4 linked regions of the Drosophila melanogaster genome follow. The protein of the gene in region 2 interacts with the protein of the main gene of each other region in a pairwise test. Each region holds a gene or a part of one and is shown on either strand. Other genes may lie near its edges.

Evidence for each region.
Region 1: the proteins of yip3 (region 2) and SMSr interact in a two-hybrid assay, tested with the Drosophila melanogaster proteins (one large-scale study listed by BioGRID).
Region 3: the proteins of yip3 (region 2) and S6KL interact in a two-hybrid assay, tested with the Drosophila melanogaster proteins (one large-scale study listed by BioGRID).
Region 4: the proteins of yip3 (region 2) and CG7409 interact in a two-hybrid assay, tested with the Drosophila melanogaster proteins (one large-scale study listed by BioGRID).

Annotation. Positions count from the first base shown.
Region 1 is NT_037436.4:7,375,275-7,383,828, forward strand, and holds the start of SMSr (sphingomyelin synthase related), read right to left. Parts: upstream 6,201-8,554; 5' UTR 5,957-6,200; coding exon 5,347-5,956; intron 635-5,346; coding exon 131-634; intron 73-130; coding exon 1-72. Other genes in the region: smid (smallminded), read left to right, coding at 6,681-6,737, 6,937-7,060, 7,113-7,457, 7,511-7,561, 7,620-7,960, 8,027-8,554.
Region 2 is NT_033778.4:23,242,875-23,247,301, forward strand, and holds yip3 (yippee interacting protein 3), read right to left. Parts: upstream 2,526-4,427; 5' UTR 1,960-2,525; coding exon 1,943-1,959; intron 1,886-1,942; coding exon 1,778-1,885; intron 1,728-1,777; coding exon 1,271-1,727; 3' UTR 1,170-1,270; downstream 1-1,169. Other genes in the region: RpL22-like (ribosomal protein L22-like), read right to left, coding at 3,911-4,427.
Region 3 is NC_004354.4:18,786,245-18,791,769, reverse strand, and holds the start of S6KL (S6 kinase like), read right to left. Parts: upstream 3,307-5,525; 5' UTR 2,939-3,306; coding exon 2,681-2,938; intron 1,609-2,680; exon of another isoform or gene 1,461-1,608; intron 1,265-1,460; coding exon 1,155-1,264; intron 1,094-1,154; coding exon 877-1,093; intron 813-876; coding exon 689-812; intron 625-688; coding exon 526-624; intron 470-525; coding exon 311-469; intron 103-310; exon of another isoform or gene 1-102. Other genes in the region: CG6961 (uncharacterized protein), read left to right, coding at 3,710-3,789, 3,852-4,372, 4,430-5,171, 5,228-5,309.
Region 4 is NT_037436.4:7,752,089-7,756,098, reverse strand, and holds CG7409 (uncharacterized protein), read right to left. Parts: upstream 1,691-4,010; 5' UTR 1,570-1,690; coding exon 1,105-1,569; 3' UTR 931-1,104; downstream 1-930.

The sequences.
Region 1 (8,554 bases), on a different chromosome or scaffold from region 2:
GGATGAAGAATATGCCAAACATGTTGAGCAGCCAGGTCAGCGTGTGCAGGAAGTACAGATTCCGCGGCGTGTCTGAAAGATCAGAGTGTAAGTCAGTAAGCAGCATAGGAAATATAAATAAATAACACACATTCTGTGATAAAGAAGTTGAGCAGGGTCAAGGCCACCGTGTGACCACTAAACATATAATCGCCGCAGGTCCGCACTCCCTGAATGGACATGCCCAGGCCGCTCCAGATGCGATAGGCTCGTGACATGCGGATAATCAAGGCGCCCACCATGTCCACATTGGGATCATCGATGGCAAAGTCCTTCTGGCTGCACTGCAGATGCGTTCCCGGTACGCTCAGCGACGTGATCAACATGGTGACGCAGCGCAGCAGGAAAACCGTGCCCGCCAGAGCAAAGAATCGCCTCAGTAGGACCAATCTATACTTGTGGAAGGTTAGCACGACCACCCAAATGGTGAACAATAGTGAGCCGGTTATTTCGCACATATTAAAGGCCCACGGAATATGCGGCACGTTGTCCAGGAAGATGTCCGGCAGCGGCGGATAGCGCTTCATATCCGGAACCCGCTCGTGCACAATAACCATTGTTAACGATGTTATCCAGGTGACAACGAACGAGTAGCCTGTTGATGGTACAAAAAATATGATGTTACCATGCGGATTTAGAGTGTGACTAATTTGGCTCAGCAGGCGGAAAAAAAATAGTTATGGAATCGGTCATTTGCAACCATAATCTATAAACTCTCTATATATAATTTCTAAAAACGTTTGTATTTCAAATTGATCTCAAGATGTCGAATTTATGAAGTTGAATCACAATGATGACTAAACTTGAGATATCAGAGCAAATAAACGTATGTACTTTATTCTGATAGTCATCTTTGTTTGTATAATAATTTAGTATATAATGCGGAAACCTTTTAACAAAGAAAAGGAAACCATTTTATTTTCGTATTATTATTGGTAGTGTGTTTGACCCCGTTCCGAAAGTGATAAAAGTGTAATATTTACTACCAAAAGAATTATCTTTCAGCAGCTTTATCTGCCAAAATGTAGACTTATCTATTGAAATGGCCATGACAATAGAAAAACAAGCATAGTCTGTAATGATAAATGCATTATCGAAATAAAAAGCCACTGATAGCAAATTAGCCTAGATAAGCCCATTGTTTCGTTTGAACTTTGATCACTTAAATATTATAACTCAAGTGAAACATTATTTTACAGAACAATCCTTTTTTGAATAATCAGCTAAAACTTGTCAGATAGATAAATAAATACATAACATAATACATAAAATTCAACACTCGATTGGCTACTGTTTTTAGGTTTTCCTTTGCCGTTCAATTTTTTGAAAATTTACCCGTTAAGTAAAACCAGCCGTTTGAAGGGTATCATAAACAAATGGGAATTTGAAATTTAATGCACGCAAAGTTACACAAAAATAACAAAACCAGTTAGCCAGAATGAGAGGCATATGAGTACACAAATAAATGCGAGCGGCGTCTACACAAATAACCTCCGAAGTGCTCAAAATAAATAATAGTAACGCGTCGCCAGTGACCAGTAAACATTATTAAACTTAGAGTGTGACGTATCTCTAGAAGTCATAGCTAATGAACCCATGAACTCGAAGGTAAATTCGTTTACTTTCGTAGAATAGGTAGTAGTACAGAAACTATAAATGGGATTTAATGACGTATGGTCTGATTAAACATTTATAACACGCGTGACATTGAAACCATTATTATTGGCCTATCGCTGAGGTAGTGATTGGATTGAGTGATATACTCTAGAATTAGATTTACTAATTAAAGCAATGTTTCTCACATGGAAAGCGTTTATTTCTGGTTACAGAATTTTAGAATTATTAATGCTGGCAGACATGACAAGAACTAAATGTTTAATGTTTAAAAAGATCAAAGTGTGATATGTATGATATTTTTTCGTAGCTTGTTGGGATTATTAAGGCAAATGATAGCAAAAGTCTGATAAAATGGAGCAGAGGTTTATATAATATATTATTTCCTTTGAAAGTTAACTGCCATATGCCAGAGCTTCTTATCTAGATATGCATATGTATATAGTGACGTATTTGGGTGGTCCAAACCAGCCACTTCCATTATTTCAAAGAAATCAGTAATGCACTCTAGTAATTTTCCATAACGTATCCCAGCTGCGCAGCATTCGTTTATCTTTGGCAGCGCAGCCGTTCTTGTAAACATCCTAAAGCCTGACCTAAGCAGATTTGACTGCCCTCTTTCAACGCTACCTAATCTTAAGAACCCAAGAGCGAGGCTCTCCCGAAATACAAATATTGTTCAAATACTGAGGCTTCTCCTCAATCCAATTTGCATTTGATTTTTAGTCTTAAGCTGAGATCCAAAGAATAAAGTCGTGAAACTATTTCTCCTAAAAACTATTTTTTATTTCTTGGCGTTGTCCTTAGTCAACTGACGGGACATTAGTTCGACTCATAAATAAAACAACAATTTTACTGGCGCAGTCGGTAGGATACAAAAGTATCCGAAAAAAAGAACCTTCGAGTGGAAAATAAGTTAAATTTTATAGTCCAGTGCTCGAAACATCTCCCAAAATAAATTCGTGAAAACTCTTCAACTTGGATTATAATTCCAATTCGGTTATCCAATAATAAGTGGAAGTGAAATACGAAACAAAAATATTAAGTCCAAAGGCAACTAAGTTTTAAAACCAACATATAAAAATAAAAAATTAAAACAATATAGAATTTTAATAATACAACACAAAAATTTACAAAACAAAAAAAAACAAACAAGTGAAACTAGAAAGCTTAAAAATAATAATAACATTGAATCCGAAACAAAACAAAAAAATAAAACACAAAAGTTAAAAATTTTACAATAAAAATGTCACAACCAATTATTGCGCTGAGCGACATAAACCTTGCCGAAGCCCGTCGGCAGCTTAAAGACATTATGCCATTCAAGGGTGATCCAGAAACCCTTCACACCTTTATCAGCAGAGTGGATTACGTAATTTCGCTCTACCAAACAAATGATGTCCGACAACAGAGGATTCTACTGGGAGCCATCGAAAGGAACTTGGACGGACAAATTACACGATCTTTGGGACTTCCGAACATCGAAGATTGGCCTACCCTTAAAGCAAGACTCATCGCGGAATTTAAAATTCAAACACCAAACTACAAACTTCTGGAGAACTTCAGGGAGACACCATACAGAGGAAGCCTAAGAGCATTCTGCGAAGAAGCGGAGAGACGACGTCAATTACTAATTTCGAAACTACACCTGGAAGGCACCTGGTACCCGATAACACTATTGTTTATACTGATCACAGCTGTTCATGGACAACAAATTCAAATTAATAATATTGACACCAACCACGGATATCTCCTTTTTTCTGATAAGCCAGTACAGATACCATCCTCCTTTGAACATCACTCCTTAAAAATCAATTTAACTGAAATAGACATCGTGGTTGACTATTTTGAGCAAAGACTACGAACCGATTACCATGCACCCCAGATCAATTTTTTATACAATAAAATAAAAAGAGAACTAGCCGGAATAACCCTGAAACATAGAAACAAACGGGGTCTTATTAACATTGTGGGTTCAGGTTTTAAATACCTATTTGGAACACTAGATGAAAATGATCGAGTCGAAATACAGAAAAAACTTGAAATCAACGTCCATAACTCAGTAAAATTACATGAACTCAACGACGCCATACGATTGATAAATGACGGAATGCAAAAAAATACAGAATTATGAAAATAACCACACCATCATTGACAGTCTTTTGTTCGAACTAATGCAGTTTACGGAATACATAGAAGATTTGGAAATGGCTATGCAGCTTTCCAGACTTGGACTGTTTAACCCCAAATTACTAAACTACGACAAACTTGAAAATGTGAACAGCCAAAACATTTTGAACATTAAAACATCCACTTGGATTAACTACAATGATAACCAAGTATTAATCATATCCCACATACCCATTTACCTTTCACTAATAAGCACAATTAAAATAATTCCTTACCCAGACTCCAACGGCTATCAGCTAGATTACACAGACACACAATCATATTTTGAAAAAGAAAATAAAGTTTATAATACCGAAAATAAAGAAGTAAAAAATGAATGTGTCACCAATATTATTAAACACTTAAATCCAATTTGTAATTTTAAGCCAGTACACACGAACGAAATAATAAAATACATAGAACCAAACACAATTGTAACCTGGAACTTAACCCAAACAATTCTTAACCAAAATTGCCAAAATTCAATTAATAAAATAAAAATAGAAGGAAACAAAATGATAAGAGTAACGCAATGCAAAATAGAAATCAATAATATAATTTTAAGTGAAAATCTGTTAGAACCAGAAATAGATTTGACACCACTATACACACCACTTAATATAACAAAAATAAAAATTGTAAAACACAACGACATTGTTGAGATGATTTCAGAGAACAATATTACACTTTACATACAAATGATCATTGTAATAATCGCACTAATTTTGTTGTACTCATATTTAAGATATGTATCATTTAAACCATTTATGATGCTGTATGCAAAACTTAAAATAAGAAAAAATCAAAATCAAAACACACCACAACAAACAGAAATAGAAGAAACTCCATTTCCCACACTATATCCATCAATCCCAGCCCAAGTATAGGCTTCTCTTTAAGGGAAGGGGAGTGACGTATTTGGGTGGTCCAAACCAGCCACTTCCATTATTTCAAAGAAATCAGTAATGCACTCTAGTAATTTTCCATAACGTATCCCAGCTGCGCAGCATTCGTTTATCTTTGGCAGCGCAGCCGTTCTTGTAAACATCCTAAAGCCTGACCTAAGCAGATTTGACTGCCCTCTTTCAACGCTACCTAATCTTAAGAACCCAAGAGCGAGGCTCTCCCGAAATACAAATATTGTTCAAATACTGAGGCTTCTCCTCAATCCAATTTGCATTTGATTTTTAGTCTTAAGCTGAGATCCAAAGAATAAAGTCGTGAAACTATTTCTCCTAAAAACTATTTTTTATTTCTTGGCGTTGTCCTTAGTCAACTGACGGGACATTAGTTCGACTCATAAATAAAACAACAATTTTACTATATATATACTACATAATAGTCATACCCATGGGGAAACCTCTTACTTCTCGGCTATCGCAAGGAAAGTATATGCCTGAACTGCGCTATATAGAGAAAAGCGAAAAGCTCTCGAGAATTGGCACACGACCGATAAGCCCGCCGAAGCAATCAATGGACAATTGACCTTCGTAATTGAAGGGGGGCAGGTTGTGGACCACTCACCTAAGCTCATGGCGGTCTTGAAGTATTCCGGCGGAACATAGCGTCCGCCCATGCGCAAATAGGTATCGCAATCGGACACATAGCTGGGGCATTCGGCCTGCGGACAGGGGCACGTGGATGAGGACGGTGGACCGCAGCCGGTGCTGGCTAGTGGCATGTATACCGAGTTCCCGTTCCCATGGCACTCGATGCCCAGTATTACGGATTCCGCAGAGCTGTTCTTCACCAGTAGCTGCAGCTTGAGCACGGCTATCCAGAATTTCTTGAGCTCGCCGAAGGTGAGTTTGTAGCCCAGTTTGTAGCGCATATCACGTACATCCTCCTCGGTGAGGGAGAGCAGCACCTCGCCGTCGATGGCCTCCTGGCGCAGGCAGTCGAGCAGTGTTCTCGAAAAGTGCTCCATGCAGGTGGCCCAACTGGTCACATTCTCGATGGACCACTGGGCCACGAGTAGCGGATCCACGGGCTCTGGATCTGGCGATCCATTGGTCAGGTGCTTATCTGTCGCCGCGTCGAGGTAGTGCGTCCGGGTCTCCTGATCCATTGTGACCAATCCACCGCCCTCGGAACGTGGCTGAGTCACCGGATCGCCAATTTCACCGTCGCACATCGCGCTTTCTTTTTTTTCCGTTCGATGTTCTTCTGGCTGTTTCTTATTCGTTCCAATTTTGCGATTTATCCAAAATCCAAAACAATTGTGCGGCCGAACTCAGATGGAGTGCAACATTTTTTCACTGCTGGCTGCTGTTGCTGCTGCGGCGCATAATTAACACCTCACTTATTGCGCGTCCAGCGTTTGTTGATGTAAAAGCACATTTAATTTTTGGTTTGGTTACTTGTTAAATTCAGACTACTCAGTTGTTCCGTTCAGAGAGCAAGCGAGAGAGCAGAGCGGAGTCAGCAACTATGCTGGGGGCGGGAGCGAGATAACAAGGCCGAACAGCTGACTTCGGCCATCGATAGTTTTTGGACAACGCCAACGCTATCGATGAACAGTTACTTCGGTCTTAACTGCGTGTTCACACCGAAAAATTTTCGAGAATTTCGCTCTCGTAAAAGTCAAAAGGTTTAAAACTCTTATCGTTAGCTTAATATTATTTTAAATAAAACAATTTGAGGTGTCTGGCGAGTAGAAATTATTTAAATATTAACGCTTGACTGATATAAATCTCGTTCGATATATACGAAACCATGGTGAAAATGTGGAAGAGTGGAAACGGCCTCCAAAGCGAAGATATCGAAGCCACAGCTTCGCTTCGTTAGCATTTTGCGAGCGGCAAAGTGATTTAATTGTCCTCGTGCGAATGTCTAGACAGAAGTAATCCTCGAATAATATGAAGAAAGCCAAGCCGCTGCTGCACGACCATCTAATAACGATCCGAGTAAAGAAGGTGTGTCCAAATCCGTTGTTTATATCCACAAACTAGCCAGCTGCCCGATAGCCGGTAAATTCCCATGAAAGCAGCACAAAAAAAAAAAAAAAAACACACAAAAACCCTTTGCAGGGCGGCGATTTTGGGCAAGGGAAAACAAGGTTAGGTCGCAGGCTACCCGCATCGTGTGCTAATTGCGTTCTACTTTCGATTTCAGTATCTGGAGGAGCACATCGGGGAAACCTACCTGGATGTGAAACAGATGACCAGGGAGTTGATGCAAAAGTATCCGGAATATTCACGACGCAAATTCGGACCATTCAGACAGCTGGTGCACCAAGGTAAACATGGAACATTGTGGTTATTTGTTTTTAACAAATATTTCTATTACAGCATTCTCGATCATTTCGGAAAGCTATAACTTGGACAAGGTAAGCAGTTCCGAGGAAGATTGTGTTAGCGAGGACTCCGAGCCACCACCCACGAATAGTGTGATGAACAATATGATGAACAGCCTGTATAGTCAACCAAGAAAGCCGCTGGCGCCCAAGCCAATCAGCGAGCCCATCGATATATCCAGTGGAGACGAGAACGAAGATGACTCCAATACAAAAACCACCAACGGAGATGGGGTAGCTGCTGCTGCTGCTCCTCCTCCTCCTACTCCAGCAGTGCAGGGCAGTGCTTTGAAACGCCTGATGGAGGAAGTGCCGGAGATCGCAGTGGCTGCAAAGAAAGGTGGGTTATCAATCCATTAGTCTATGACTTGGTTAAATGACATTCTTCATTAGTAGCTAAACCGAATACTATTCACGTTAGCAGTTCGGAGGCCATTCAAAAGCGTGAGTTTTTTTTTAAATACTTTTGTAAAATCAATGAAACCTAAACTTTTTGTTTTAGTGCACCAAGTTGTGGGCAACAGAGCGAAAAATCTTTCAGAGGACGCCGTTCCGCGTTCCAAAGATCACCGTAATGTGCCTGGCTTATATCAGCAGTTGCACCAAAACCAAAGTCGCGATCGCCTTCGGAAGTTCAAAAGGGATCTGGAGGTGCAGCACCCAACGGAAAGTTTCCGGGACATTGGTGGCATGGATAGCACTCTTAAGGAGTTGTGTGAAATGCTGATCCATATTAAGTCGCCGGAGTTCTACTTTCAATTGGGTCTATTGCCTTCGAGAGGTTTATTGCTTCATGGGCCGCCAGGCTGTGGCAAAACCTTTCTTGCTCGTGCCATTAGCGGGGTGAGTTTTATAAATGAACATTGAATCGTTAATTCATATATTAATCATCTCTGCTTTACGACACAGCAACTAAAAATGCCTCTAATGGAAATTCCGGCCACAGAGCTAATTGGTGGCATCTCTGGTGAGTCGGAAGAACGGATTCGCGAGGTCTTTGACCAGGCCATTGGCTACTCGCCTTGTGTGCTTTTCATCGATGAAATCGACGCCATCGGAGGAAATCGTCAGTGGGCGTCCAAGGATATGGAACGTCGCATTGTCTCGCAGCTGATAAGCAGTCTGGACAACCTGAAGGCCAACGAGTTTGGCCAATCAGTAGTCGTCATAGCGGCCACCACGCGTCCCGATGTCCTCGACCCTGGACTACGTCGCATCGGTCGCTTCGATCACGAAATTGCCATACACATCCCATCGCGGAAAGAGCGGCGTGAAATCTTGCGCATCCAGTGCGAGGGCTTGTCCGTCGATCCCAAGCTAAATTATGATAAGATTGCAGAGCTAACACCGGGATATGTCGGTGCTGATCTAATGGCTCTCGTAAGTCGTGCAGCTTCTGTGGCCGTAAAGCGTAGGTCCATGAAGAAGTTCCGTGAA
Region 2 (4,427 bases):
ACTGCCTGCATTTTCTGCACCTCTGTGTTTTTTCAGCCCTTTTTTTTTTTTTTGACTGGACTGAGGTAAATAAAGATATCACAAGGTAGCACCACTCGATTCCGCATTCAGAGGCACCCCGAATCCCCAGGGCCAGCTTCCTCGCAACTTTTGGCCGCATCGAAAGTGAATTATTATTGAATGCCAGTTGAAAAAAAAAACCAACAAGTGAGGATGGGTCCTTCTTGGAACTGGCCGCATTTAATTTATTGGGAATATTTGATGTTTGATTTTTCGGCTTGTTCCTCTCGTTTCTTATCGCTTGGCCAATGACATTTTATTTTCGACAGACACTTTCGAATTCGGGCAAAAGCACAACCGAAAATGAAGTTAATAAATGCGGGAAGTGGATTGAAGTGTTGGCGAAATATTTGCTTATCAACCGAAAAAGGGGTTTCAATTTGAATGTGCCAAAATAATGCACAGGGTGATAAGGCTTTGATTAAGATAAGCGAGCTAAATGGAAAGGGAATGGAACGAAAGTTACGAAGATACTAATCTGAAAGTATAAGTATCTCATATCATATCCCTTTGAGCTCCGTTTAAACCGAAGAGCAGCCGATTAACTACGAGTCCAATCTACGTGGAAATCAATTAGCAACTGCCGGTTTGCAGGCCATAAAAGTGAAAATCCGGAGCAGACAGCATAATGCCACCCAAGAGCTGTCAATGGAGGAAGACCACACAAGTGGACGCAGGAGTAGGGGAAAATGGAGCCTGGTCACGCACAGGGGAGATGGACGCAAAGGAAGGGGGCGTGGCGAGGAGGAGAAAGATAGAGATCCCGATTGCCAGCTCGAATATGAAATTATTCAAATGCAGCCACAACATATAAATTCAAGTTAATCCGCACAGCTGGACATCGCCTCAGTCCCCAGATCCCCGGAGGCAGACGAGCGGATCTGGTTAGTGGGGATCTATATAGAGCTATATATCCATACCCATAGCGGGTACAAGGACTCTGAGCTGCCAGCCCGCTGATGGGCGCCAGCTTTTAATCATTATTAATTATCCAAGGGCCAGGTCGGAGGAGTATAAATCACTTGTGCTGGCGCTGCACCATTTCCAGTGGGAGGAGCGGCTAATCTATTTTAGGCCAACTTGCAAAACGCTGAGAAATGTGGCTAATTACAGGGGGGGGGGGGGCAGTGGAGCAGCCACCATTCATTTATATGAACATAAATCGAAATGATACAATTAACTACTATGTACATGTAGATAGTAGGAGGATCTAGAAATTGCTGGCCGGCGATACAGAGGTCTCGTCGTCCATATCGAAGTCCATGTTGGCACCTTGTTCCTCGATTTCTTTAGCCCTATAGATGGTGCACATTTCCACGTGCTCCCACCTAAGCGCTTTCCTGGCCAACTGTTCAGCCTCGCTGAGGTTTATGAAATCATTCCAGTCTTTCGAGAGAAAGTCCACAATGTTCTCCTTATCTCTGCCCTTTGCACCATACATCACCATGCGTGACTTTCCACACTCCATGCTGAATAAGTGAAGGCCCCTGCTGTCCTGGCCAGCTATCATGACATTTGGGGATTCGGCGGTCTGGTACTTTTCGCAAAACATGTCCCGCACCTGGGACACGGTCACATTCTGGCCGCGATCCCGGACTAGATTTGCCACCTTTGAACTCACTTCCAGAACTATGTTCCGATCGATGCCGGAACGAGGTGCGCAGCAGCTGAATAATTAATAAGTTATTTTAAGGCATTGCAAATTGAATAGACTTACTAAATGCGGTCATCTATTAGATACATTTCGTATTCCTTCGAGTCGGTGGCCAGTATCACGGCGTTGGTACTCTTAAGACCCACGATGTTGCCTTGAATCGACTTGGAACTGTGGGAATCAATAGCTAGTAAGTAAAAGTATATATGATTTCAGTCACAAACTCACCTTTCACCTTCCATCATTTTCAAATAGACTCCCAAAAGCGTTCGAGCAGAAAAGTGCCAGTTAAATGAGCTGCAAAGATTCTTTAAAACTTTAAAAGGGCTTGGGAAGTAGAAAATAAACTTGAGCTGGGTACAAAGACCTTTCAAAACTAATATTTGCTCAAGTAGATTAAGGCCAACAAATCGTCAACGCCTGTGTGGCTATCCATTGTCTGAAAGTAAGTGATATTGGCAGCCCGAGGCTGTCCGTCACCTACGCTGGATGGCGATCTTCAGATGGCGATGGCGATGATGATGATGGGGTCTCGCCAACTGGTTGGCACTGGCCGAGAAACGCGTCTCTGCGCAGTTTCCGAGGCAGCTGCACCTGCTGGCCCTAAAAATAGATCCAACCAGTTGGCGAAGTCAAGACCAGAAGGCCTCGGAATGGTAGACACTTTAACGAGCCTATCAATTTAAAGACACACACTGTCCGCGCAACGATGTAATCGATGTGTTAATTAGCCTAAGCAGGAACAGGGATCAACCTACCTAGAATCGGAGTGGATTTGAGCCTATTACCAAGATTCTGGATCTGAATGTTTGACGCACAATTAAAAGCCAACTTGATTGCACGGTTCATATTCCATGTCACAAGGGATTTGCTTTCAAATTAATAAGGCCCTGACACAGGGTTCAAAATTAATACTTGTTTTAATGCCAGCTCTATTTGCTGCAAAAAGTGGCTCTTCAAGGGAGTGAAATACATCATACAAATGTGCACTATTAATTAAATAAAATAGCGTTAATGCTAATTAACACATGCTAAAGTATTTTTTACGTTGGTATATTCGGTTTGACAAAGAACGCCATCATCTATCAACTATGGGTGTTAGTTCAATTAACTTTAATCACCATTGGATGTCAGGCCTATTCCAATTACCAATGGCCAATTGGCTTTTGACAGAGGCTGTTCTCTCTCTGCTTTGGCCCGATATCGTTTTCCCATTTGACAAAATAATAATCGCGTGTGGATCACTCTTGACTTCCCCCCCATCGCAAGCCCCTTATTACATTATTATTATTATTATTGGTACTCGTCTGCATGTCTGGAATTTAATTTTTTCTGGCATTTACAAAACACTTCAACCCGTTTTGACAAGAGTCGGCGATGACAGCAATTACCATACGATTTGCATGACGTTTATGTTTATTTTCGCTTTGTATTCCCTTCCAGGCGGCAATCGTGAATATTTTGCCCAGCCTTTGTGTTCTTTTGGCCAAGTCGAAAAGAAGCCAACCTGCGAGTGCTCAGGTTGATTTCGATTTTGACAGCTGCCTGCCTGACTCACTCCACTGGGCTGCCTCGCTGTTCGCATTTTGGCTGGATTCGCATTTCATTAGCTCGTTATGGACCACCTACGGCCAGGCCGGGCCAACTGCTGACAGAGGAGCACCCTCTGATCCCCACCCATGGTTTCGTCCATTTGGCAGACCCACAGCGAAGCAATTAAGCCGCCTGGCATCGAACACAATCCCGTCCAATGGGGCAATTTAAGGTATTTACAAAAGCGTAAAAAGGTAAGGAAAACAAGACTGGCTCCTCCCAATCAAAACATGACGAATGCCACTCGAGGCCCTCTCCGAGATGTCAATCGTTCAAGTTTAAGTCGATTCGACCGAGGAACGCTCCGCTCCTTCCTCCTAACTGACCGTAAAATGAAATCTTTAAGTTCTTCAAGGGAACTCTGCAGCTTCGGATGAGAATACATACATATATGATATACTCTTGTTAGGGTTTTTTTTTTTTTTATTGATATTTCATCGTTGAATATGTTGAAGCAAATGAGCAAAAATTGTATGAGCCACATTGAGAACTAGTGAAACTTCAAGTGGGAAATTTAACAGAAGTATACTGAGAAATTTAAGAAGTCTACACACTTGAACAGCTTTCATGGGATATACATGTTTTCGAAATGCGATCTTTGTTTTAGGCAAAGGTTTTTCCGCCATTGTCGTCGGCAACGTCGTCGTCGTCGTCATCAAAGTCCTTGTCCTGAATCTTAAAGTAGGTCATGGCGAAGGTGTCCTTGGCCGTGGACACTACCCGCAACCAATCACGCAGGCTGACCTTCTTCAAATACCGTTTGGTCAGATACTTGAAGTAGCGCTTGGAGAAGTGCACACCGGAGTGGATGATCAGCGAGAAGTTCTTGGTGCGCTCGAAAGTGACCTGATCCTTCAGCTGGTTGAGCTTGTTCTTTATCTTGATGTGGGTCTTCAAATACTGCTCGAAGTCGGCGAGGTCCAGGATCATATCCTCGGCCACGCATGCGCAGTCGATCACAAAGCGTTGCCAAGCCTTCTTTTTGGCCAGCCTTTTTCCACGCAGAACATTCTTCGTGCGTTTCGGCTTGGGCTTCGGATTTGCCGGAGTGGCGAGGCTCTTTTTTACACTTTTAGCTTTGGCTGCTGGAACCTCGACATTTTCGGCTTTTGGTGCTGCG
Region 3 (5,525 bases), on a different chromosome or scaffold from region 2:
CCTCCTAAGTCTGATCTTCGTTCTCTGATAATGTTTACTGGCTCACAGTAATGTTTATAGTTGAATTGTTGCCTGTCTCATTAAATGTACATTGTTTTATAGCTTAAATATTAGTATCCTAGAGTAACAGGTTGTTATATATGCTCTATTTTCCTATACTGCTCTGTTCCCTTTTTCTTCTAAGTTACTTTGATGGGCTTTCTTTTCGAAAATACCTTTGAACGATTTGGATTGCGATGGATCGGCACGCCTCTTAACAGCTAAATCTATTTCTTAAGTGTTTGTATGTTTAAGTTGGATTAGATCGTACCCATGTATTTGAAAGTGCCACACATGGTGCGCGTGTTTGCCCCCAGTTTGAGCCACTTGCTAAGGCCGAAGTCGGTTAGCTTTATGTGAAACTGTTCAGTTAGCAGGATGTTCTCCGGCTTCGCATCACGATATATAATCCCAGCGTTGTGGAGAAAATCTAAAAAGAGCGTACGTGAGATATTGGTTTGCTGGCCTAAGACCTCTTTTACTCACCCAAGGCAAGTGCTATCTCGCCAATGTATAAACGAACCAGATCAATGGAGAAGTGAGTTATTTTTGAGAACAACTCGCCGTTGGGTACGTACTCCGATACTGCAGTGGATTAGAGTATTTAGTATACACATAAAATCGTTAGTATAGTTTTATCTCAACGCACGAATATGGAGGTTGTGGCGGTTTTGCCACAGATCTATTTGCTTCACGATAAACGGATGATGGCCGCAAACCTTCTGAATGTCCGCCTCGTCCTTTATCTGCCGTACACTGTTGTCTTCGATGAGCTGTATAAAAAAAGTAGGGGAGTTATTTTATCTCTGCCAGTATCCGAACCGAATGCTTAACAACCTTTGATTTCTTTAGCACTTTCAGGGCGTAGCACTGACTAATGTCACTCTTGCTGGACACCTTGAAGACCACGCCAAAGGCTCCCTTGGCCACCAAATGATCGATACGGTACAGATCGTTCTTGCTGGTCTCCTTAAAGTGCGAGTTGAAGATTGAGTTGGTCAGAGGTCGGTGCCACTGAGTCTTGCCACGACGAGAGCCATGAAGTGAGGTCAAGCTGCAAGCAAGAGTTGGCATATTATTTACGGAAACTTAAGGGGCGATCAATGCGATTCTACCTCTTTCGCGTGGCCTTGTTTCGATGACGAAATGAGTTGCGGGCACCGGAGAAGCTCCAGTTGAGTCGTCCTCCGCTAAGGCTGCCAAGACTCCAGGTGGAAAGCTGTTGCTGAAACAAGACAGACCATTAGGTTTTGGTGTTCAGTACACAATTCTCGCCCTTCACTGCTATCTATCCCATGTATATGTACATATGTAAGTTAATTTTATATTGAACACGCGGCGGACTGCCTGTATACTGAATGACCAGTGCTGAAGCCAACAAAACGGCCTGAAACGGGCTCAGCGGATTTATTACGGCTTACCTGCGTTGTTTTCAACGCTTATCCCAGCCCTTTCCACCGGAAAAATAAGCTAATGAATTCCCAGAACACTTTCTAGCAATCTATGAATTTCTACGGAGGCGTAGGAGACGGTTTTGCGATGTTCCCTTGGCGACGACACGTGCGTTATGGGCCTCTGAATATTTGCAAACAAACAACGCCACCGATGATCGAACAGCTGGGAACGGAACGCAGAAGAGAGCGAGAGAGCAAATCGACTATACAGTGGTGTCCACCGAGAGTGATCATATGTTTTCAATGTTCTCAATCACTATGACACATTCTTGGTAAAAAGTTAGTTTTTTTTCATTAAATTGCTGATTTTTAGTTTAAATAATAAGGCCATTTTTAGGCAAACCCGAGTAAAACAGTGAATTTAAATTGGTTTCGCTATTAGGTAACTTTCAAACCAAAAGTGTTGATTTAAACCATATTTTGAAAAATAATGGAGCTATGAGCTTTTTGTGTGCAAAAATTTTTTTATCTATTAATATAGATTGCTGACGTGAAAAATCTTTAATAAACTACTGCTGAGAACTAAATACGTTTTCGGCATGCGAAGTCTTATCTCATTTTCTAAACGCTTTTCCACAAGTCGTTCCCATATGCTAGCCCGCGTCTGTGGCCAGAGTTTCTTTGCTTGAGGGTCACCATTCCATTCCGTATGGCTACACACACGCGTATGGAGCATAATGTACAGATCTGTGGATCTGGATCTACGCGTGGGCTGTGCGATCCCCAGATTCATAAAGTGAAAACAGAGGGGGGAGCACGTGGACGGGTGGATTTGATAAGGGGGAGCCAGAATTTGCGCAGCGGGAGGCTCAATTGGCATGGCCATGAAAGTCGTATGCGAATGCGGAAATACTTGGGGCATTTGAAAAGTGCGGAAAAGAGCGCCCACACACGTGCTGCCTGTGGGGCGGCGCGAGGAAGAGTGGGTTTCGTGGGGGGTCAGGGGTCAAAAGCCGCAACGTAATTGAAAGGGGGAAAACGCGAACCCAGCACCCATTAATGTCATTAATGACGCAGTATTTATTCGCGCTGACGAGGGAAAACATGGCCAACAAAGTGTACATACATATGTGCATAAGTACGAATGTATGTTTATACGCGCATATATGGGTTGCCTTATCAGCCTGTCCTACACATATACTACAACGTCCACCCACCACCCACTTGCGACTTTTCTTACTCATTACCTGCTGTGATTGTACAGGCTGTTCCTCGTCGCCCGGAGGATGCGACTGTGTTGGCTGGTTGGTGTGGGCCTGGAACTGGATTCTCCTGCTGCTCGGTTGCTCCTGTTGCGGCTGTTGTTGCTGCTGCTGCTGCTCCTGATACAGCTCCTCCTGGTGGTAGTGGTGATCGCTGGCTGAGGCGCCTAGTTCCGCTGCGCCTTGTGGCCACTGGGATGTCCTTCTGCTTCTGCTTGCATTACGCGGTTGCGAGTTGCCCATCAAAAGCTCCACTCGTCCCAATCAATTCCCGTTGTTTCTGTTTCGGTTTCTGTTTCCTTGTCGTCCGCTTGTTGTTTACACACACACACCGCACACCACCACACTCCACTCGTTCCACTGGAATTGCGCAATCACTGTTCGTGTGCGTGCGCGTGAGGGGCAGCCAAAAAATCGCAGTAAAAAGCGCGCACTCGCAGTTGGGGTAGCTGAAATTCTAATATAAATATTTGGTAGCTAAGGCTGGCTCTATTTTGCTGTTTTTCAGTGTGTTGTTGTTGTTGTTGTTGTGCAGGTAGCAGTGTGACCAGACCAGACGTCGGCTAGCACCTAAGCGCGATTGTTCTCGGCTGTGCGAAGGGGCACACTGTGAATTAGTGGCGCGTAATGTCAGTGGATAAAACGTATTATGTATTCTAAGCTACCATTGTCAGTTCTGAGAATTTTCAATCTTCTACAAACTAATGTTAAGACATGCAAAAACTGTTTTTGTGAATGAACAAATAGTTAATAGTATTATTTGTATATTTGTATTAGTGTTAGTATATTGCTGTTTCTATTTTACATTTTATTTCCAGCATCACGAAAATGTTAATAAGCGATAGTTGCTATCGATAATGCCGGGCGATAGTTGGCGACCCCAAGTGTCACCAGTGAAACGCCAGTCCTATTTTTTTTACGAACGTAGCTCGAATAGTCAGGATAATTTGAATCTGGTTGTTTTTACTTCAAACATAGCTTAGGAAAGGGTGTGAAAAGCGTATACTGCGAGCCATGGACATCGATTTGAGTCTGGACGAGATTATAGAGCGGAAGCGCGGGCAACGCGGCTATCGTCCCCTCGACAGAAAGTTGTAAGTACATTTACAGGACAGCCGAAAAAATATAATGTCACTCAATGCGTTTTCCATTGCAGCAATGCGAACTTCTCCAAGCCGCGCCAGCTGCTGAACAAGCCTTTTTTCAAGCCATCGGGTGCACGAGGATCTCACTCTGATATGCCGGCAAAGCGCACCTTCGATGCCAGAAACACGATTGCCGCGAAGACACGGGCCAAGATAGCCGATGCTCGGGATCTGATCAACAAGAGCGTGCGCGACTCGGGCATCGATGCCCGCCAACTGTTGCTGGAGCGAAAGAAGGCCCGTTCGGCGGGCCCAATACTTATTGATGACGAAGAAGAGTCGTTTGAGCCATCACATCGCGCACGCGGAAAGGGAGTGCACATCGGTCAGTTTGGTCACCGCCTTAGCATGTCAAACCATGCGGACGGCACCATTCAGGCGAAATGGGACTCGGACGACGGGGTCGTTGAACTGGGTAACCACATGTTGTCCGGCTTGCGTCGAACCTTTGACCCCAGATCCCATAAGCCGGGCAAACCCTTTGCTCCACGACGCTATATTGATCTTGATAATATGCAGGACCTCGAGGATGGTTAGTTAGTGCCTTTCTCTGCCAAGCCGTTCCTAAAAAGCACTCTTCTACTTTCAGAGGAAATATCTCGCACACTGCACTTAGGGCAAATGAAGCAAGCGTCGCCACGCTACTCAATTGGTGGGCTCGACCTGAACCGCGGCGACGACGTGGAGATGTCCATGGCCCCACTAAATAACAAAATAGATAACAATGCATTCTCCATTTACGAGGCGGCCCGCAATCGCATTGAGCGTCCTTCGCTGACCAACCGACTCGTAGTTGGACGCTCAAATAGCACCAAGGAGCCTCTCGAGCGCCGCCACCGCGACACAGTAAGCACAAGTAAACTCCCAGAATCGCTGCGGTCTCGTCTGTTTGTCGGTAAGAGAGATCCTCACATTTCTCATGGCATCTACGCCAACGAGAACCGGAGAAAGGCTGTTGGTGGCGGTGGTGGTAGTGATAGCGATAGCGGTACTGATAGTGATGGTGATGCAGCTGCTCCATCGAAGAACAAGCGCCGTTCGCCATCCCCATTGTCGCTGCGTACGTCGAACACAAAGGATGGATACCGCCTGCTGGTGAGCAATCTGCATACTAACGTGACTACTGCGGATATTCGCGAGCTTTTTAGCGACATCGGCCCAGTGTACGACGCTCGTGTGGTGCGTCCCGGCACCGCCGAAGTTATTTACAAGTCACTGGAACATGCCGAGAAGGCCGTAGATACCTATCACCATCGTCAGTTCGATGACCAGCCCATGCACTGTGTGCTGGTCAATCCGCACTCCTCCCGTCGCTCGGTGCACAAGGCCAGGTGAGTGATATGCTTTAAAGATATCACGCAGTATTGTTCAACGTTCTCGGCCGTAGCTCTCGCACCGTGACCACAAACTCGTCTGGCGTGGAGGTGGACATCGATGCACTTCACTCGGTACTCTTCAGGGCCCGCTAGGAAGTGCGAGGCAGAGCCCGGGAACTACAGCAACTAGATAATTTTTTCTATTTAGTTCAACAACGTAATCCATTTTCATTTCGCGCTTATAAAATTCGAGTCGATCCATCCAGCGTATGTTTAGCAAACTAGACTAGTTTAAGTGAATTCTGCCATGTCTGTCCACTTTAGAATTTTGTGTTTAGTGAGTAAAATTTTTGTCTTATTATCATAGAA
Region 4 (4,010 bases), on a different chromosome or scaffold from region 2:
GTGTTAGTGGTATGCAGTTTTTACTTGTTATTACATATATTTTTGGCAAAAATCGGTTACTCAGAGCTTTGATAAGACTATCTTTTGGTTTGACTGTTCATTAGATAAAGACCCAAACAAATACATTAAATGTAGGTAAACATTTCGTACCGTTCCAAAATGTTCTCTTTAGATTTGGATTTTAGACCGAATGTTCATATATGTATTTGATTTCCTGTTCAAATGTAATTAGAGGGTATCTCTCACCCGTAGCCTTATGATAAGGAAAAGCAATATGTCAGAGGCAAGTTTTTCTGTAGTCAATCAATTTTTGTTGTATAATGATAGCATATGCTTAAAAACCGTGCCTTCTTTTCTTTTTTTAAACACATGTTTTTGGGGAACTGCTGCTATTCATGTCTTCTAGATCAAGAATATTTATATTTAGAAGATAATTCTTTAAAATATACATAACTATATATAATATCCCATGCTTTTGTAGAAATATTGTGTGCGCGTGATTCTCGTTACTTTCTATGGTCAATTTAAACTAGATTAATTTTCCCAGCTCTATTTTCTGGCTATTTCCAGGTGGAGCACATGTGTAACTTCTACGTGTAGGTTTTGGCTCAAAGCTGTTGTTGTTTATTGGCCCATTTACATTTGAAGTTAACCTTAGTTGGCAAATTACGGAAATCGCTCGAGGGCGTAGTGTTTACCCATATGAAAGATACTCTGGGTAAGAATGCTCGGAAGATACTGACTATATTCGAGCGGATACTTGTTTGTTTGGTCAGACGATGGCTTTTTCTCTCTTTGTACGACTTGAGTCAATTTATGTTGACATCTTCTTGGCCATTGTTTTAAAGCTTCGAGTCAAGTTGAACACATCCGCTGGCGGTTGGGAAAAGAAAAGGAATGAAACCACTGCCAAATAAGATAGTCTGAATTCATTATTAATAAATTAAACTTTTATTTTATTTAACTAAACAAACGTTGCTTTGTTAATAACAAAAAGAGTCCAATTCTAGTCTTAGAAATATGTGCATTACTTTTGTCTTAATTTTAGCTCCAACAGAAAGTAACTAAGAACAAAACACGGAGTTACGATGCTATAGACTGTGATTAGTTCTTGATGCTTAGATACGAAGGACCCACTTGGCGGACGTACACACTCCGCTCGTTGGTCAAATACGGCGGACACTTGACGGTAAGTATGCCATCGGACGACAGTTCCGATCGCACATCGTTGGGATAGTATCCTCGGGGCAGGACGAACCGCTTGACGATGTGGCGACCCACGAAGGTGTCACCATCACGTCGCTTCTCGTGCTTGGCCTCCACGACCACAGTGTCGCCTGAGGTCTTCACGCTAATCTCATAGGGCTTGAACAGGTGCACATCCACATTGGCCTCGAAACCATCCTTTCCGACAATTACCCGACTTAGATCGGGTGCGGATCCAACGCGAGATAGTGATCGCTTCCAGTAGGGCAAGTCCCAGTCGTTCAAATCCCAATCGCGCCACAGCCGACGACGGTAATCCCAGTAATCCCAATCCGTATTGTTTGTAGCCGGGACAAGAGCCATTTTGTGGTAGTTATTATTCCTTAGGACAGGACCAACAGCAACGCTAGTTTGTATTTACTTTCCACTTATCGCGCTTTCTGATAGACGTCCACTCGCGTTTTCTGCTCTGAGCAAATTAAACTTGGAAACGATAGTAGTCGACGCTTATATAGCCATAAGCTTCGCCCCGTGGGATCAGCTCGGCTCAACACAGATTCTAGTCAATAGCCAATGACAGTTGTGACGTAGTAGGCACACTGTTCAAAAAAAAAAGCGGCATCCCAGTTAGGAATTCAAAAAATACGGCAAGCTGCTGCATCTTAAATATAGTTTTTACATCTGAAACGTTGTGTGATTATGAAATTTAAGTTATAAAATTTTTAATAAATGCTCTAAATATAATTCATCGATTTTTTTACCGCAGTGCACCAGTTGCAGTTACAGTGGCGTTAAAACTGGGCGATGTTTTCGATTGTTTATCTTTGCATTGACGCTTGTATATAAGGAAATGGGGCTGTGGGTCGAAAAAATGCCTTTGCATGTTATTTCCTTGAGGCGCTTCGAGATCATATGCTGGGTGGGTTGATTTGCAGACTAGTTTCCGTAGAGGCTATAAATTTTCAGCGGTTCTCCAAAGGTACTGCTAACCTGCTAATTATTCAGTAGATTTGAAATAAAAATCTTTATATGCTGAAAATTTTTCGTTTTTTATCCAACAAATACATATTTTGCTTTCCAATGATGCAGATGTTTGCGTGTCCTTATTTGTTTATGTTTTTCTCTTTCATTTACCAAATCATTCTCCCATATCGGCAACGCATTAAAAACGGTGGAAACATTCCAAAAAATGTTGGCAGAATTCGTATTTTGAAATTAATTACTCTTTGCTTCCGTTTGCAAATTAAAAAACAAAATCAAAGCAAGCCCAAATAAAAACCAACACATTTCTTTGACGGATGTGATTCTTTTCACTTTTTGACCAAATTCGGCTTTAAATTTTGTACACGATAGAAATTAACAGAGATACGCGGATTACAGATACACAATCTATAGATACAGCAACATAAAAGGGGGATTGAGTTTGTCATGACAAAAGGGCAATTTGTAAAAAAAATTTTGACGATTTTTTTGACGATTAGTCGATGGATGCGACATCTACGGAACATTTATGGGCCTGACCTGCCTGCCCCTCTTTATAAAGCCCGTGCCCGTAACGTAACACAATCATCGGATTGGGATTGGCCCACCCCATATGTCGCTGTAATTTGTTGTTCCAGCCGTCGGTGTTGTTATTGCTATTCTGGCATTAGATTTTGTGTGTGTTTTATAATAATTATAACAAGCTTCGCAGTTTCGCAATTTAGATGGCATTTAAGCATGTATTTGTACATTAAGTCATTTGCCATCGGACTAGTTCAATAGGTTTGTAATGCAGCACATCGTAAGACAGTCGAAGGCACACAAATAGATACGTTGTGTCAAGTTCGAAATAATATTATTATTAATATTATAATAAGTAAGTAAAAAGTATTTATTATCGTTGTTCTTATAAATTATATTACCCAATTTCTTATTTGTTATAAATATAGTCACATATGCTAAATAAGTATTTAACATCTTTAAAATCCGTACGAACAAAATTTAATAGTTAAATTTTAATATTTAAATATTTATATATTTATACTTATTTTTTGTATTATCAGTGTCTAGAGTGTCAAGTCTAGAGAAAATTCCCGATTGAAAACCAATTGAAGTGCCGCAGCTGGCGGAACAACAATACATTAGACCAAAACAAAGCAATTTACTAATTTGCTTGACTTTATGGCAAAATCGAATGAAAATCAGAATCGAATCCCTGTGGGTGTGGGTTGTGCACAACTTTCTTTGGCATCGATTGTGTGTGGGGCATTATCTAAGAGATGACTTTCTATAATCGTAAACATCATTAGCAAAACACACCCACCGCGACCTTCACCATTCTTAATTCCCACAGGGAGGTCATTCCCCCGATTTTCATGATTATGGTTATATATGTTTAAATCGTTTTCAGCAATAGCACGGGAATGAACTTAGTCATTTAACATGGTGCCAATGGACGTGGATAGGAAACAGATGACTGCATATACACAAAAGAGAGATGAATTCTTAAATATTTTAAATATTACTTATTACTTATTCAGCCTACAAGTATGCTACAAAAGTTTAAGACGGTCATGGCGAACGTGGCGTATGAGTAATAGCTGTAGTTTAAAATGGCAAGCAAATTAAGTCTCGGAAATCAATAAGGTACATCGCTCACGTGGCAAATGAAGTCGCCGCGCGATGAAGTCGAGCGTAACTATAAATGGCCCCCGAGACACTAAACATTCAGCCGCAAAAGGGCAACAAACAGGTGCAGGAGCAGGTGCATTCGACCTGGCCAACAGGCCACTGCAATGCGACGCCTGCCAAGGAGAAGACGG